5 linked regions of the Coturnix japonica genome follow. The protein of the gene in region 3 binds, or shares a complex with, the protein of the main gene of each other region. Links are inferred from orthologs where the notes say so. Each region holds a gene or a part of one and is shown on either strand. Other genes may lie near its edges.

Evidence for each region.
Region 1: KAT14 (region 3) and WDR5 share a complex: the UniProt entries of both Homo sapiens proteins name them as parts of the ADA2A-containing complex. The link is inferred for Coturnix japonica from reciprocal best matches to the Homo sapiens genes KAT14 and WDR5.
Region 2: KAT14 (region 3) and DR1 share a complex: the UniProt entries of both Homo sapiens proteins name them as parts of the ADA2A-containing complex. The link is inferred for Coturnix japonica from reciprocal best matches to the Homo sapiens genes KAT14 and DR1.
Region 4: KAT14 (region 3) and TADA2A share a complex: the UniProt entries of both Homo sapiens proteins name them as parts of the ADA2A-containing complex. The link is inferred for Coturnix japonica from reciprocal best matches to the Homo sapiens genes KAT14 and TADA2A.
Region 5: KAT14 (region 3) and YEATS2 share a complex: the UniProt entries of both Homo sapiens proteins name them as parts of the ADA2A-containing complex. The link is inferred for Coturnix japonica from reciprocal best matches to the Homo sapiens genes KAT14 and YEATS2.

What each region holds. Positions count from the first base shown.
Region 1 is NC_029532.1:5,717,776-5,722,024, reverse strand, and holds the start of WDR5 (WD repeat-containing protein 5), read right to left. Parts: upstream 2,812-4,249; 5' UTR 2,688-2,811; intron 1,020-2,687; 5' UTR 906-1,019; coding exon 825-905; intron 202-824; coding exon 93-201; intron 1-92.
Region 2 is NC_029523.1:12,070,759-12,074,279, reverse strand, and holds part of DR1 (protein Dr1), read left to right. Parts: intron 1-2,091; coding exon 2,092-2,255; intron 2,256-3,521. UniProt on the Homo sapiens protein: The association of the DR1/DRAP1 heterodimer with TBP results in a functional repression of both activated and basal transcription of class II genes.
Region 3 is NC_029518.1:13,423,920-13,426,427, forward strand, and holds the end of KAT14 (cysteine-rich protein 2-binding protein), read right to left. Parts: intron 2,018-2,508; coding exon 1,844-2,017; 3' UTR 501-1,843; downstream 1-500. UniProt on the Homo sapiens protein: Component of the ATAC complex, a complex with histone acetyltransferase activity on histones H3 and H4. May function as a scaffold for the ATAC complex to promote ATAC complex stability. Has also weak histone acetyltransferase activity toward histone H4.
Region 4 is NC_029534.1:7,297,245-7,301,360, reverse strand, and holds the start of TADA2A (transcriptional adapter 2-alpha), read right to left. Parts: upstream 2,809-4,116; 5' UTR 2,716-2,808; intron 2,530-2,715; exon of another isoform or gene 2,506-2,529; intron 2,045-2,505; 5' UTR 1,846-2,044; coding exon 1,821-1,845; intron 1,117-1,820; coding exon 1,010-1,116; intron 90-1,009; coding exon 30-89; intron 1-29. UniProt on the Homo sapiens protein: Component of the ATAC complex, a complex with histone acetyltransferase activity on histones H3 and H4. Required for the function of some acidic activation domains, which activate transcription from a distant site. Binds double-stranded DNA.
Region 5 is NC_029524.1:700,951-704,471, forward strand, and holds part of YEATS2 (YEATS domain-containing protein 2), read right to left. Parts: intron 2,848-3,521; coding exon 2,605-2,847; intron 937-2,604; coding exon 821-936; intron 1-820. UniProt on the Homo sapiens protein: Chromatin reader component of the ATAC complex, a complex with histone acetyltransferase activity on histones H3 and H4. YEATS2 specifically recognizes and binds histone H3 crotonylated at 'Lys-27' (H3K27cr).

The sequences.
Region 1 (4,249 bases), on a different chromosome or scaffold from region 3:
GACACTTATCCCTTCTCCATCCAGTCAGTTAAGACAAGTAGTTCTACAAGGCCCGTATTTGCATTCTGTTGATGTAAGAAAGCAATACTTACAGGAGCTGGCTAACCACTCTCCATTAGGACTAAACTTTACAGATGATACCGCCTTCGTATGTCCCGCTAACGTGAACTTTAGAGCATAATTTGGTTTCACTGGTGCAGGCTGGAAGAAAAATACATATGAATGAGTTGAATAAATTCCCAATTTAGTTTCTCAGTGACAAGCTCAGTATCAGACGAGATCAGCACACATGAATACATACATTCACCTGAACAGATTCTACCATTTACATTCTCTCCCCCCACCAAATTCAACAAGCCCCCACTGGAGCCAGAAGCACATTACAGCCACGTGCCACCAAACTCATCCTGATCTGAATTCCCTTCAAGCCTGCAACTAACAGATGACAGTAACACAACAGTTCGAGCACAGAGTGTTTTGAGATTAAAATAAAACCTCTGGTGATGGTTTTATACTCTGTGTATAGTACTATGAAATGCCTGTAGTTCTATTCCTTGCTCAGAAGCAACCACAAGCCAACTCCCCCAGGCCCCTTAAAACTCTATTTCAACCAAATAATCAACCTAGCACTAAGCTGTACTCAGCCTGCTTTTCCCCTACAACCTTCAGCACACTTCCCTCTCCATACAACAGCAGAGGCAGACGTATTAAGAAGTTCTTAATGCATACTTGATTCAGTTCTCTAATTGCTGTTTGCCTGGTGCACGTGCAGGTATGCACCATGTGCATTTACGCAGGCATTGTTCAGAGCTCCCCACACACACCTTGCTCTGATTGGTTGAGGAGGAAGGAGTCGATTGTGTTTTGGTGGATTCTGCATCTGGTTTCTTTTCTTCTGTTGCCATGGTTCTGAAGCCGGCAAATGAGACCTACGGTGCTTGAAGGGGGAGAATGAACGTGCTGCTTCACAAGGCAGCCCTTGCCACGGGGAGAGGAACAGCGCTGCTAGAAACAAAACCCTGGAAGAAAAAGCAAACAATCACATTAACCATCAAAGAAGGATCAGAGGCAGCTAAAGGAACAAGATCAGCTTAACTGCAGGTCTGCAGAAAACATGATGAGGAAACATATTGTACGCCTGCTCAGCAACATGCCATTTTATGCCTACAGGTCTATTAGTGGTCTATCAAGAACCCAAATACAAGACTTTGATCAGCTCCTGCACAGCGTTTTTTGCTGTGTTTTGTACCAATCACTACAAATAAAGCAGAGTAGCTCTTAGAGGCAGTGGGTTTATCTTATATTCCTTGAAACATCTGTACAACACAGCAAATACAACACCTTATATATAAGGCATTTCCAAAGCTTAAAACCACACCAGGTTTGTTTTATTTTTCCATTTCCTATTTCAAGTACTTTGGTCTAATACCTTCCCCCTAAATGCTGTGAGCACCATATCCCTGCTTGAGAGATCCCCCTGCCTAACAGCAGCCCTGCATTAACCTCACCAGATCTGCTTTCTGTAGCAAAACCTGAGCAGTGCTGTGCTGTACCCTGCAATCAGGGCTGATGCTGCAGAGGGAACAATCACGCTGCAGTTCAGCTTCATTTCAGCAGTGTAACAGAATAACCCGCAGCTCACATTGTAAGGATTTACAAATCCTTTGCTATTTGCAATATCCCATCCCAAGCACAATCCATTTTGCTTGTGGCAGCAAATCCAAGAGGAACAGCATTGACTTTTCAAGCCACGATGCACATCTTGTCCTCAGGAGGGCACAGAGCTCAGTGCCACCAGTTGCAAGCTTTACAAGCACAGTACAGACTCCTTACTTACTGTTAATACCAGCAACTCCAGCTCTATAATCCAGATCTAATGCATTTCAACCTGAACTTATATGGGAACTTGAGCAAGCAACACAGCTTACCCCTTGCACCTCCTCATACAAACCTGAGCAGCAGCACATGGCAAGCTTCAAAGGGCCCTGGCTGCAAACACCCCTTTCTCACCACACCCAGGGGGGAAGCTCGTGTAAACTCAGCTTGTAAGCAAGAAACTTCCCGAAGGCTTTAGAAGCAGCAGCAGCCTGCAGGAATACACAGCCTGCAAGGATACACAGCCTGCAAGGATACACAGCCACGTGTGTGCACGTACATAGGGCGTGCACACATCCACAGGGCTGCACGCTCTACAGCGAGGCGTGGAGCAGCACAGAGCAATGGAGCTGCAGAGCAAAGCAATGGAGCTGCAGGGCAAAGCAATGGAGCTGCAGGGCAAAGCAATGGAGCTGCAGGGCAAAGCAATGGAGCTGCAGGGCAAAGCAATGGAGCTGCAGGGCAAAGCAACGGAGCTGCAGGGCAAAGCAAGGGAGCTGCAGGGCAAAGCAATGGAGCTGCAGGGCAAAGCAACGGAGCTGCAGGGCAANCTGCAGGGCAAAGCAACGGAGCTGCAGGGCAAAGCAAGGGAGCTGCAGGGCAAAGCAATGGAGCTGCAGGGCAAAGCAACGGAGCTGCAGAGCAATGCAATGCACACACAGAGCAATGCAATGCACATACAGAGCAATGCAAGGCCGCACGCGGCCCCCTCTCGCCTCAGAGTGAGGGCGGTGGGGGAGGGAGGAGAGGCGGCTCCCCACACGAAGCCGGAGCTGAAGGAACCCATCCAGCCGGGCTCCATAGTGACTTACCGAGGGAAGGGGAAGGGCTGGGTGCACACCCGGCACCGCCGCCTCCTCCTCCTGCCTCGGGAGGGGCGGAGGGGGGACACGGCGGCGGCGGCAGCACCGGAGCCGCCAGGCGGGGAATGTGGCACTGCGCATGCGCGATGTAGGCCAAAGGCTGCACAATGCCGCTCTCTCCCATGAGCGCTACGGTGCGGCCAGAGGGACAAAAAGCATCAGTGGGGGCCGTGCGCCTTAAAGGGCCACGCGCTTCTTTTTTCAGCCTGCTTCCCGCCTTTGGAAATGGCTCTGTGCTGAAGGCCTCCATCCCTCAGGTGTGTGCTCGCTGCCCTGAGGAATGAAGGAACGAAAGCACTGAAAATTCATGCTTAACCCACAATATTGTGAGGAGACTGAGCTAATCCGTAAGGTAAACAGCACAGCAGGCCACGTAATGCTGTTATACCGAGGGTAGGTGTGCGGCCTAGCCCTGCCTAGGGATATATTTAGCTTCCATTTAGCTTGCATGCAGATTCTCCTCAAATTTCAGTGTTTTTCTGGAAAACAGTGGGTTTTTTTCCGAACTGCTTTCAGTGAGAGGGAAGAAAACCAAGAGACACGTGTTATGTGCTGGCCCTGTAACACAGGAAGATCTGCGGGCTCCAGAAATGCTGGTGGCTGCTGAGAAAGGAAAAAAGTGATGGTGTAATGAAGCCAAGGCCCTTCTCCAGCTTGGAAACCCATAGCTGAAGTCTGCAGCTTTAACCCTGCCCTTTACCATGGGGGGAAAATACAGGCATGGAACTGTGAGAGATGCTCCATCCATCCTATGCTGTTAGGGAATAAATCCAGTTCTTGCCTTGGTGTATAGTCTTCATTCTGGAAAGAAAAGAAGACTAAATACCACAAATCAGCAGGGTAATGCTATACATTCATGCAGCTTTCTTGTGATAAGGGTAGGTGTTGCTTTCACATAGGAGACAAGAGCCTGTATTTCTGTACTGTGCCTCCTCTCGTTGTGGAAGCTTTTTTTGCCTGATATTTCATATATATTAATCTATATCTATACTGAATGATACCTTTCTGGAACTGGAAACTATAGTTTCCAATACAAATGGTAATTGTAATCCTAAGCAACCCCTTAGCCTCTGAGTGTCCTGGATTTATCTTTAACAAATGTCATAAATAGAGAATCTGCACGGACAGCCTGTTGTCTTTGGATGAAATTGAACTTGTGGGTTATGAGTCATCTGTGAGGGTCCTTCTTGCTCCGCAGGCCATGCTGCCACAGCTGGGATCAGCAGGATGTGATCTCTGTCCAAATTCCCTCTCTGTGAAAGACTGGGCCTTGGCAGGCTTCTCTCTCACAAAGTCTTTCATTCCTTTTGGTTCCAAATAGCCTGAACTTGGTGATCTGCCAAGTACATTGGAAAAGACACCTGTCTGTGAGGCTTCTGGGGGGCGAGAAAAGCTTCCCGTAATGCTGAAAAGGAAAGAAAAGTCCATAAGTGTCTCAGATGATTGGGAAGTGACTGCTTTCAGTGCTGGTGTGAGCCCTCTGGATGTCTTTAAGAATGCCAGGAACAGAC
Region 2 (3,521 bases), on a different chromosome or scaffold from region 3:
CAGTCTGGATAGATGTGTGGGCTTAACACTCTAGAAGTAGAAAGATTCTAGATTTTGGTGGACAGGTGGCTCTGCTCAGGTACTCACTAATTCAGCATTTGAGTACCATGCTGTTAGAAGGGGATAGACGCTTATTCCTTCCATGCATGTGCTCCATAAAGCCACAGTTTGTTTCAAGAGTGTGAAATTCTGAAGTTGTTTCACTACAGCTTCACTTGTTTGCAGCAGGCCTAGTGTTATTGCTGTATTTGTATTGAGCTATTGTATGAATCTGTCATAGTTACAGTCCGAAAGAAAAGTATGTAGCTATAAGTACTTCCCATGAATTCCCATTCTTTTAAGTGGCACATACAACTTGCTGTTGATTTGGGCAGCTGCTCATCCTCCAGTGCAGCAGATTGCTAAGCCTGATCTCTGTCAGTATTCTTCTATGAACATCTGTATTCACTGTGATAGTTCATCTTAGTCATGTTCGACATGTAGACTTCTAAACACCTTAATGCTGAAAAGGAAAAGCTCTGAGTTTGAAATAGTTGATTGAATTTACTGTTTACATTTTAAAATAAAATGAGCTCCTTAATATTAATAGGCTGCTTATAGAACCGGTTCTGCACCAGGGACATGTTTGACTCCTCTTTACTGAGACTGTGTTAAACAGGTTCGAGAAAGCTTTTGTTGATTCTCATAGAAACTCTGGACTAATTTGAAACGGTTCCAGTGTCTGCGTGGGCTGAGGCTGAACTGGCATGCTGTCTGGAGTAATTTAATTATCTCTAAATTGGTTCGTCTCTTAACTTCATTTTTCTTAAGAAATAGGTATTATGTAAAGCCACTTCCAATATGTTTGCCAAACCTTAAAAGAATGGCAGTCCTGCTGTAGTGTGCTGCTAGATTGAAGGTAGTGCGTTAATTGTCTCCTTGTATGTGTTGGAAGCCCCAGGTTTACAGAGTGGCTTTGTGTTACTGTGGTGGCCTGCCCCTCAGTTGTGGGTAGGAAAGGATCATGTAGAAACATGTGGAAAAGTAGTCTGATGTACTGTGAGTCAGTTTGTTTATAATGTTGTTCATATTTACTGTTATGTAGTTTGTTTTAGTGTGACTTCTTGGAAAGTTTATTACATAAGGTTGAAATAAAGTAAGATAAATATTAAGTATCATTCTATAAGGAAAACTCGGACTTGCGTAACTACTGGAAGTGAACCAGGTGTTGAATGAAGCTGGGGCTTGTTTCTAAGTAGTTGGTGTCTGTGTGATACTTCCAGCCTGTTCTGTATTAGGTTCTGTTTTAGGGTGTGTGTGTGTGGAGGCATATGGTAGCAAGTGGCATATCAAAATGTGCCTTTTCTCATATGTTTTGCCTGTTTTGTTTTTAACCTTTCTGTTATTTTTGCATTCTTTAAAAGCTGTTGCAGAATACAGCTGTGCTTCAGGTTTCCTTGGGCAGGTTAAAATGCTGTGTTACAGCTTCTGAATGCATTTTAATGTAGACATAAGTACGAGGATTTCCATTCCAAAACAATAAGGAGTTGTATGTAACTGTATATGTAATATGTGTTGTTGGCATCTAGAAAATGAGATCAGATATTCAGATCCAAAACTAAAGTGAATTTCTATGGTTATGTTTGTTGTTTCTATCTTTAAAGTTTTCTTTGTTATAGGTAAATGATTTTATTTGAAGACTTGCAACAAAAATGGAAAGATAGAATCATGGAGAGATTAATGGATCACAGTTCACATAGGAAGGGCATCTTGGTTCTGTAGTTGATGTATGAATCTGATGTGCAGAACATGAAGATGGAGGCTTTCCAAGAATAAAGCAAAATGGATCTGAGAGTCCTGAGTGCTTTGCAAGCCAGGACTTTTTGCACTTCAGTAAACCTTGCATTTCTAGTGTGAAAGCTTGCCCTCTTTAGAGGGCATAGGAGAAGAGGCAGGGAGAGTAGCTGTCACATGTTCCCACAAGCACAACTTTTCATTGCCAAACGACAGAAAAATGATCAATCGTCTTCTATTTTTTATAAATGTATGTTTAAACATGTTGGTATCTGATTTCAAAAGCCTTCTAAAAGACCAATGTTTTATTTTTTCTAGCACTAGAAAGTTTGGGCTTTGGGTCCTATATCAGTGAAGTAAAAGAAGTCTTACAAGAATGCAAAACCGTAGCACTAAAGAGAAGAAAGGCCAGTTCACGCCTGGAAAACCTCGGCATTCCGGAAGAAGAGCTTCTAAGGCAGCAACAGGAATTGTTTGCAAAAGTAAGTGAGGCAACACAACACTTAGACAGATGAGGTTGTAATAATTAATGTGGTGAATCTGATGCTGCAAAAACATGTACACACACCTAGAAGTATTCCTTTCCTTGATGACTGTTGTAGCGTCTAAGGTGCAATTGATCTTCTTGTCCTGCTTGTGTTACAGAAAGTCGAGTCAATAAGTAAGATACTGTTTGTGGTTACTCCTGCAAGTTGACACATACAAACAAATTTTATACTCTAGATTTAGGAAGTTTTTGAGTTTTGTTGTTTTTTTTTCCTTCCCTACTATTGAGACAGGTACTTCCATTGTATTGTAGTGATGCATTAAGAACTACTTAGCTGAGGAATAAAAAATGGAATTGCCTTTTTTTTTCCTTAAGTTGCATTTAAAACATGAATCTCTCTTCTGTTTGTGACCATCACTGCACAATTCATTGAGGCTTTGAAAGTAGCAATTAATTGTTAAAAAATTCCAATTTGTCCTTTCTCATCTTTATTTACTTGTGGCGAGATTCTATTGGAGTTAATTCATGCATAAACTTTTAAGGAGGCAGTTGAAGCACAGGGAAGGAATTTGCCTACAAATACTCCTTCATCCCAGCTTTGCCTAATAGTAAATGTTCCCAGGTTTAAACAACTAAAAGCTAATTTTATTTATCCTTCTACACCATCTTTCTCTGTCTTATTCTCAGTCTGACAAGAAAGTCTTTCTCTAAACAAAATGATATGAAAATAATCTTTGTTTCCTCTTGCCCAATCCATGAGTCTTGTTTTCTTAATTTACATAATTCTGTTTCCTCTGAAAATGCTTATTCAGTCATTACTATGTCTGATTACTATGACCTCCTTTCCCATCACTTCACTATACTTGTATCTTGCTGGAACACTTCATAATTGTTGGGTTTGTATCATAAGGTGCCAGCTATGTTAATCTTATTTGCATGATGAATTCTTTTTGCCAACTAAAGCTTCTGCATGCATGAGGCTCTTGTCAGCATGCATTGAACTAGTTAGGACTTTTTTTCTGACTGTATTACCACTAGAAGGAGCAATATGGCTGCTTCTGTTTAAGGTTTGATTTGTATGTAGTAGTCAGCTTAAATCATGTTTTTTTTTCAAACCATTGTTCAAAAACTTTGGTCTACAAAATGATGATGGATATTCAGAACAACAAAGATAGTTGAGGGGGTACCACCTCCTAAGTAACATAAAACAAGAATGCTAAAAACCATTGCTACCTTATGTAGGCAGAATGGGCCACGTGAA
Region 3 (2,508 bases):
AACTTCCCCCTAACATCCAACCTAAATCTTCCCTCTTTTAACTTAAAACCATTTCCCCTAGGCCTGCTATTGTCAGCCCTTTCGAAGAGTTTACTCCCCTCCTGGGAGTAAGTCCCCAGGAGAGCCCTGCCAGTGCTCCTGTGGGATTTCACCTCAGAAAGTCAGCTCAGCACATAGGTAACTACAGGTAGGCTCTGTCAAGGGAAGGGCTTTAATTCCATTCATAGAGACGTGTTTTTCCTTTCCAAGTACAGCTAATTCCTAACACCGGTAACGTGGAAAAGTCTCACAGTCATAAAGCAGGTTGAAATGTCATGGATGTTAGGTCACAGTTCTTGGACGGGTTCTTATTTCCTCCCACTAACACTGGTTTTGATTGGATGAAGATGTACGTCAGCTACACAAAAGCGTAATACACGTCCACCTTCCTGCTGTTACCAATGTGAAGCGGTCATTAAGGCAATACTACAGCCAAGTACCTAAGAGGCACACACAGCAGATTTAAAACAAATACATTATATTTGTTGTGTAGCTCTCTGACCTTGATGCGAAAGGAACAAGGCAGTGGATATGATTCATCCTTTAAACACACTGAGCAGCCTAAAGTCAGAAAGCAAAGTGGCAACTTCCTGTTCTTCTGCAGAAAACAAAGAAATAAATAACAAAAATTAAGAGAGAGAAGCTGCTAAACTGTATAGAAGGGCTGCACCCTGCTATAGGAGTAACTGCTGCATTGTTTGCGTCTTTTTTCTTAAGTTCTTGGCTATTATTTTTTATTCTTTGCTCTCCTCTTTACTTCGAGCCCTGAAAACAGAATCTAAATGCTTCAGTGAACTGGAACCAGCTCACCTCTGCTCTCCAAGCTGCAAGCAGGTTGCTTCTACAAACCAGAGCCTGCATTTCAAACTTAACCACTGACTTTTGCTCCTGGTTTCTTCTGGTCAGAGTGTCCACAGCAGGTGGAGACAGATGCTGTCTGGAGCTTGTGAAGCTTGCTATGTGGTTAGAGGTGAGCCCAAAGGGCTGATCTGCAGTATCAACAACTGGCAGATAGGCAGTAAGATCTCAAAGAGCTCATTTGGCAGCTGTTGTATCCTACCTCACCTAGCTACAAACCCACCTGACATCTTGTTCCTGAACTCAAAACACTGCGTGCTACAAGAACTTCACAATGAGCACAGAGTCAACAAGGGTGAAGGCCACAGGGAAGGAGCAGAACAAAGACATCCCTGGGCCTTTTAACTTGGGATCACACGAGTTCACAAACACTTCATTATTCCTAAAACACAGCTTCAGTATTGCTATTCTGTCCTGTGCAGAGCCTGAAGTCAGAACCTGACATTGCATTCCCCTCCGTGGATTCAAGACGTGGTTCCTAACAAAGCAATCAAATCGCAGAAACACTGTGGATGATTTAAGTTTAGATGTTCATTTTCCATAAACAAAACATTAACAAAACCCCTGTAACGTGAGATAGGTTTCAAAATTTGAAATCCATGGAACTCCTCTGAAATGACAAATTTTGGGTGGCTTTTTTTGTGTGGTTGGTTTTTTCCTCCAGTGGCAATCTCCAAAGTATCAGGAAAACTCCATAAGAATCTCAGTCTTCCAGTGGCTTCAGCATGTTTCTGTTGGCATTTCTGGGCCTCTCCCTTGGAGAGTATGAATCAATCCTCTTGGATTGCACTTGCAGCACAAAACATAGCGCTGTTGATATTAGAAGACCTACCGAAAAAGGCAAATGTGCGTTCCAGCTCTCATGTGACAGCCAGCATCCTCTGCTGAAAGTCACGGTAATACCTTGCTCAACAGGCTGGGCTTTTCACAGATCCCCTCTGACAGATCAGCGCCGTAGTCTGAGAAAGAATGCATGCTTGCACTCCTTGCTGTCCAGGGGATAATATTTGTCATAAAAATCCAAAATGTATTCTTCAGTCTTAAACCCGAATTTTTGGTAAAGCAGCATCGCGGGGTTGCTTGCAGAGACGTGAAGGGTTACATCTTTGCCCATGCAGGTCTGCCAAGGGAGGAGAAAAGAAACAAATAAGTATCACAGGAAGAGAATGAGAAAAGCCTCTGGGGGAATGTGGAGGTGAAGAGATTCATCAGCTTTGGTATTTGAGTCACAGGGAAAACGTGAGAAAAATCACAGGCCTCAACACAGACGTTACCACACATAACATGAAGGCAATACTGCTCTTCCTCAAAGCCTTTTATTCTGGGAAACACGGACTCTCTGACAAAGAAATCAAAGCTTTGGATTCTAATTTGTAAGCTTTCCATTGTCAATTTCGAAGTAATTGTTGATTAAAAATAATCTCGGTGTACTGCACTAATCTCAAATACTTGACGACAACAGCCTGAAGACAAGACAAAACATCACAAAGGATCAAACGCTGTGCTCCTCCCCATCAGCAAACAGGGCTGAACTCTCTGGGACCACGTCCTAACACCAGTGCACCTCTGGGCTGTCACACTGGAATTCCTCTACATTCCACCCAGCTCATC
Region 4 (4,116 bases), on a different chromosome or scaffold from region 3:
AGTAGGTGTAACCCAAAAGGAATATTTACCATTATCTCGTAAGTGTGATCACTTTGGTGTTTCTTGTACTCAAATCCTCGTGTGAAACACTGCAGAACGAAAGATGAGCATTATGTTACTCTCTTCTGCCCTGAAAACATTGTGACTGGCATTTTTCCCCCCTTACATTCTCTGACTACTGCTTATCCAAAAGTGACCGCCTGATATGCTGAAAACAGCATCTGCTTTTTCTGATGTGAAATCAGAAAAAAACGTGTAATGGCAGAACAATTTGTGTTATAACTTTGAGGCTGTGTGGTATTCTGGTCTTGTACACCAAGACCCAACTCGTGTGCAGCTCCATGCTTTTTGTTAGGTATTTATAGCCAAGATAGGCAGGATAAGAAACTTGGTGCTATGTTATGTGTCATTCCTGGAAGGGAGCACAGAGCATTCTGCAGTATTGAAAGTGCAGTTTCCTTTTGGAGTTTTGATAAAGCTCCCTTTTTGGTATTAGAAGTTGTTGCCATTTTTTAGTCATAAATAATTAAAACAATCCTTTCTGTGGTGATCTGATCACACGTACAATTTGTAAATAACTATTATCTGGTCAGAATTATTGTCTATATTGCAAACTTCCTGCTGATTTTCTTTTCCATTTGGGAGGTTAAAAAAAGAAAAGAAAGCTGAAAAGGGACAGGGAGAGGGTGTTTTTTGATGGATTTTCTTTTCTGTGCCATCAAAGTGACAGAAACAATACTTCTGCAGACGTGCAGTGGCATGCTGTGTTACAGTCAGGCCTTTGGCAAGCTCTGGCTGCCTTCACAAAGACCTTGCTCAGCTGCTCATGTCTCAGTTCTTCAGCCTCTCATATTTTCTTTGTCATTTTCCTCTCCCTGAGCAAATAACTGTGTTGATATGAGTTTATGGAGACCTGTTATTAATGTGTTTATGGAGCGGCATGGCACTGGACAGCCTTTGATGAGTTTCTCAGAGAAATGAATGTCTTTGCTTTCATCCTTGCACTCACCTGCAAGCACAGGAGGAAGGGAGGAGGCCCACACTCCGCACACTTCACGTAGGGCTCGATGAGGTACGAAGAGCAACCTCTGCATGGAGGTTTATCGAAGGGGTCATCTGCAAAGCCAGATGTAAATCTCATGCAACACAAATGTGGCACTGCTTTTGCAATCACCCAAATTCACTCGTGTCCAGCAATTCAAAACAAACTCAGCTGTATGCAACCTCTTCCCTACTGATAAAAGTTCATTCCTGAGCTGGAGTTCTAAGACAGATATTGGCATTTAAACTTTGCTATGGACCTGGTCAATTGAGGGCAACTTGTTCGATCACACTGGAATCAAGGAACAGCTCTGCAGCAGCTGTCTGGTGCTGCTCAGCAGTGATGGCAGCTGTGTGAGCTGTCTGACTTGACTCAGTGCCCAGGGACCCAAGGCTTTATGGAGAATATTGCACAGACAGCAGCACTCTCCCATCCATCCTCCCTGTCTGACTCAAAAAGCATATTGCTGTGGTTGCAAAGGCATTGGCTCGATTGTTCTGTAACCTGCCCAAACCTCAGGCTGCTGAACAAGGAGTGCGACACTGCTCTGCAAGTTCTTATGTTGTTCACTGCAAAATAGTCTAAATACTGTCTTAAGCCATATTTGTTTTTAAATGCAATTTAAGTAGTGAAAAGCAGACAAACAAGATCTGAATGGCCTCCAAATCATTCCCGTCCTCATGCAGCCGAGGATTTGATGGATCAGATGCTTCTGTTGCTGTCTCCCTCCCCAGTTCAGACCATGGTGAACACCTCCCTGCAGCACTGTGGTACTCACTGCCGAAGGAGGCCAGGCGCTCCATCCTCTCCCTGGAACACGGGCTGCCCCAAATGCAGATCACTGTGTCCAAAGTGGTGTTGTGGGCTGGAGAGGTGGCTGAAATCCTCACAGCATCTTTGAGTGGAGAACAGTGAGCAGCCTGTCACAGGGACTGAGGTGGGGTCAGGCCCTGCTGCCCCTGCTGGGTGAGAGGTGATGGCTTCTCGTTGTGCTGGAAAGGTCTGGTTGGGTATGAGGAATAATTTCTTTATTAGAGCAATNTCAGCTGCCGGCACTATGGGGGGGGGGGGGGGGGGGGCACCATCCCTTCAGGTGTTCCAGATGTGGGGATGTGGGGCTGAGGGACGCGGTCAGTGTGGGTGGGTGGGGGATCTTGGAGGTCTTTTGGGACTGAATGATTCTGTGATTCTGAAGGGGTGAAGTGGTGGCCCTGCCAGGCAGGGGGGCTGGAACTTCATGATCCTTGAGGTCCCTTCCAACCCAGGTCATTCTGTGATTCTATGGGGACACACCCCAAGGCCCCAGCAGACAGTGACACAAGTGATGGCGGTACCGGGAACCCGGGGGCGGACTGTCTGTGTCAGGCACATTTGGGCACTTTGCTATTAATTCTGACGGGCGCTGCTCCCTGCGCTCCCACACGGCGCCCCCGCCCCGCTCTGCAGCACCGTCCTCCCCTCACCGGAAGGCGGCGCCCTTCCCGCCCCGTGTCCCCGCCCCCTCTCCAGGCCGTGAGGTGAGCGGCGGGATCGCGCTGCCGCCCGTCCTCCCGCTCCCTTTTCCTCTCCGCCGCAGTTTCCATCTCCCCCGCCCCGGATCCGGCTCCTCCCCGCCGTGCTTCGCTCCCGACTTCCCTCTGGCCGCTGTCGGGCCGCGCCCCGCCGCCTCTCACCTCACGCCGGGGCAGTTCCCGCGCGTCACGGCCTTCGCGAGGCCGCGTCACCGCCGTGCGCGTGCGCTGAGGCGTTGTACGTGCGCGGCCCCGGCCCGCTCCGCCCTCAGAGCCCGGGGCGATGCTGCGGGACGGTGTCAGTGCCGGGCAGCGGCGTTGTGCTGGGCCTGCAGCGCACACACAGCGATTGAGGACGTGTTATGAATTTAATTGTGCGTCCTTTAGAGCTGCTCTTCTGGCCGAGGCTCTGACTGCTGCCCTCTGTGTGCTGGTCCCCCCCTGAGGGCTGTCACCTCGTCCCCATTAGTGATAGGACCAGAGGGAATGGCTTCAAGCTGCGACAGGGGAGATTCAGGCTGGACACTACGAGGTATTACTGCTCAGAAAGGGTGGTCAGGCACTGGAATGGATGCACAGGGAGGTGGTGGAGTCATTGACCCTGGGGGTGTTAAAGGATGTTGTGTTGAGGGACATGGTTTAGTGGGAGCTGTTGGTAACAAGTGAACGGTTGGACTGGATGATCTTTTAGGTCTTTTCCAACCTTGGTGATCCTATGATTCTATGATTCTGCTGCTGGCCTGCTGCTGATGTCCCATTTTGTGTGCAGCTCGGCAGCTGTGATGGTGGTTCAGATGACATGCAGTGCTAGAGGGACGTGTTCTGAGGCTCACAGGTTGTTCCCATTCAGTCCTACAGATTCTGAAGTGTTTAATCCCTTGCATGGGAGCTGAAGGTGAGAGCTGTTCTCTAACAGACAGATGCAGCCTTTGGCAGTTCATATCTGGAAGGTGAAGATGGCATTGAGATATTAAACAGGGAATAAAGTAGAGATTCAGTCTGTGTGAGCACATGGAAACCACCTCAGACCTAAAGCTCACAGTGAATATCCATATTATTCCTTTGAGGCTGGGGGAGGTGGAAGTCTGCTGTTGTAGGATGAGTTCAATACATGTATGCTCTGAGCTGTTTAAGGAGACCAGAAATATTGGAAGCGATTTATTTTTCCTTCTTCCCAGGCCCTAAATGAGCGTGTAAAAAATAAATAGTTGAGGGAGGCAGACTTTGGAATGTCAATGAAATATTTATTGCTTATGCCAACAGGTCTGTCAAGTATCTGGGAATTAAAGCATGAATCCAGGTAGTTAATGGAAGGAATCAGCATGTGGGTGTCTTCACAGCACCTCGTTTCACAGTGAATTGATGCCATTGCTCCTAACCAGGTAAATGTTGCTTCTGATGTTAAGTCTGGTTTCAGTCTGCAGCAGTTGAAGCTGTGGTTGTTTAAGCTGCTGATGTTCAATCTGCTGTTCCCAGTAAGTGGTGAGGAAGAAGATGATGCATTTTTTAGGTAAAAACAGTGTTTCTCTAAAGCCTGCAGCATTTCATAAATAGGTTTTGTGG
Region 5 (3,521 bases), on a different chromosome or scaffold from region 3:
TAAAAACATGCTTCTTAATTACGAAAGCTTAATTTTAATACTGTATCACCATCAAATCCCTTTTGTGAGGTATCAAGAAGTTAAACCATTCCAGAACACCAGCAACTCTGCTATAATAAATATTAAAATATTATTATTAGATTATTCTTATACATTTTTAAGAAGCACCTGACCCATACCTGATTCCATTGCCAGGATTAGGCAGATTTTCAAGAGACAATTCTAACAGTAAGTCTCATTAGCCAACATTTGCTAATTGCTGTGCAAATGGAGAGACTGACCAGCAGCACAAGGACAGATGTGCCTCCTAGAAAATAACACCCCTTCTAACTGTACGTTTGTCTTAAATTTGGGGGGGAAATAAACAAAAACAAAAATATTTCTTCAAACTACATTATATGTTCATATAATTTTTCTCATACTGATAATCTTGTGAGCTTGGGTTGGACTTTCTGGGGGTGGAGAGAGGTCGGTTTTGTCCTCCTTGTTGTTGTTACATATATTATCCTTATTGATACACTGAAACTGCAATTAAGACAAACAGTTTTTTCAAAATTTTCATGGGAAAACATGAGATTTTTAACTGGATAGCAAAGCTGAAAGACTCCCCTTGAAAGAAACAGACCTTAAAGACTCCATACACACGAGCTACTAGAACACCTCTCTCCCCAAACAGCTCAGGGAGGGCAAACTTGGATGCAGTCATTCCAGGGCAACACCTCACACTGCCACAGCCCAACAATTTCTTTGTCTCCTAGTTTTAACCTGTTGTTCTGCTGGATCCTGAATGAAGAGCACCACAAAGCCTCTGGATACTAACTTGGAGACGTTGCCCACCACAATCGTTTTCTTCACGTACAGCCGGGACGTCTCATCGTTGGACAACCCTGCATTTCGTTGTCCTGGTTTTTGGGAGATAGAAACACCCAAACTGTCCTGTGGGTAGAAGAAGAGAATAAGGCAAATACACATTGCTTGTAAACATTATTCTGTTTGGCACTAGAAAAGTAAAATTTTGTTGAATTTCATAGATGAGAGGCCCACAATGAGTCATCCCCAAGCTGCACTTACACTGGTATCCAGGCACATTTAAGCAATTCAGCACACAACAAGGACGCTGTGCCCAGCAACATGGATGCTGAATAGCTTAGCCTGGTGCAAGTTATGCAAAGTACCATGGATGTGAACCACAACTCCAGCCTGTGTTTCAAAGCAACACCTCCACACTGCCTGAAAAATCATGCACCGTTACCTGAAAAGTCAAATCAAGCATTGCCAAGACATCATCGTTTGTGTCTCTCATCAGAAATCAAGTCAGTCTCCCACAGGCAGCTGCTGAAAACCTGAACCTTTCCAATTCCTGCCCTCTGCTGCCTTGAGGGCCTTCAACATTGCTCCACAGTGAAGAATCAAGGCCAACATTGGGAAAAGAATCCAGCTCCACATAAATAAACATGGAACCAGCTGTAATACGTCACCAATACCCACGCAGGCCTACAGATCCACCCCAACACCTGGGCATCATAAAACTAGCATCAGCAACTTTGCAGCACAATCTCAGCTCTTCAGCAGTGCTTGGAACTGCCTGAAGTGATGCCATGACCACCCAGCTGCACAGCTGTCAGCATGAAAAGGAGAGGTTTTTCTGTGCCTGCTGGATAAAGCAGCTTCTACAGACCAAGGACTGCTGCCCTCTGCCCCATGTCCTGCCCTGAGCACCTGTCCTCCAGGCATGACATGGTAAACAGAGAATCTGAGAGGGATGACTATACCTCATTACATTGCTGATGCCCGAGACTGGAGCAAGAGCAGGACGGAAGCCTACCATGGCTTCTGCTCCTCATTACCCCTTGGTCACCTCCATGCTGTGTCCATCAAAGACACAATGCCACGCTGTGCCCATGCAATACAACTATTTCACCAAAGCCCCCGTGCAGAAACAACCTACACTAGTCTGGAAGCTCACGATGCAGGTGGGTCCACATATTCTGTTTCCAGTTTCTGCTGTGAACCCTAAGAAGGGCTTCAGCAGGCTGCTGCTCTGTTAGCAAGGTGTCATACACTGCTTGCTGGATGCAGTCAGTGCTTTTTCATGGCAACATGTTCAGTTGCAGAAATGCTAGCCCACTTGTGAGTGCTTTCTCTATGCAGCACTGTGCAGCCCCAGTACAGTCTCCAGGGATACAGCCACTCTGTTCCTCAAAGGATGGGCAGCAGCACCACTGCATGCAGCCTCACCAGATTCTTAAGAACACTGCAGGAAATAACGTCTTGCTATTTTCTGCGGGCTCTTGCCCCTCCCAATCTGACTTCCACCTGCATAAAGCCCTTGGTTTGAGCTGCACAACTCCTCGAGCCCCAGGGATGCAGCAGGCAGCAGCACCAACACCAGAGCAGTCCTGCTTCCCATTCAACCTTCCTGCTGTGTGGTTAACCCAGGTACATGAACTTCGGTGAGCTTTACTGCAGGAACAAGCTGAAGTGGGAGCAAGCAGTTGGAGAGGGTAAGAAACAAATGTTCAGCAAGGCAGGTAAGAACATGAGCAGATTATTGAGTCCAGACAGCCCTACAACAACATGACCACCATTCACACATTACGTTACCCGGCTAGCACTTCTGCTCTGCCTCTGGTCCAGGCTGTTTGCCAGCCGCTCGTCCGCATCCAGGCTGCCATTGTCCTTGTCCAGGAAGAAGTCATTGTGCTGCGAGAGAGAGTCGCTCTCGGAGTGGTTGGCTGATGGCGCATCCGAGCCCTGGTGAGCAGGGGATGATGAGCGAGAGGGAGACTCCAGAAACTTCTTGATGGAAGGGTGATTAAGAATGGTGGTATCACATGACCTGGTCCCCTGTAACACAGGCCAGGCACATCCAGTCATTATTTCCCTGCAGCCCATATCAAAGTCTAAGCTAAAAAGGAAAAAGTCAGCATACACATAAAAAAGCAAATACCTCATCACCTGCTTCATGGGAAAAAACACGTGTAACTGAAAAGCTTACAGCAGCTCTTCAGAAACAGGACCCCAGACTGAATCTATTCCTGCACGCCTTCTGGTCTCAGAAATGCACCTGGTAGCAGCAAGGAGGGCTGCAGCCACCTGAACACCTGCAGTGTACCCTAGACATAACAGCTCCCTTTCTCCATGGCACCAACAGCTCTGCTCCACACACAGCTGCACAACTCCCTGTGTGCTCCTACTAGCCAACCCTACTCCCCCATCACCTCCACTTGATGCAGAACCAATGAAGCAAGCAGGGGTAGCTCTCTGTCAGCAGGCAGACTCAAGTCCATGGAGCCAAAGTCCCTCACAATGGATGGAAGGGTAGCCCTCCCTGCAGCCCTGGCGAGGAGAAGTTCTCTTCCTCTCTTCCTGCACAACAGAGCTCAAAGCCAGGGGCTGGTCACAAACAGAAGGAAAAAAAAATAAAATAAAATAATAATAATAAAAGACTTGTCTTCATCTCTTTTTTCCCCCCTTGTTGGATTACTTTTAATTCCTAACAGTCCCTGATCCAACTTCTG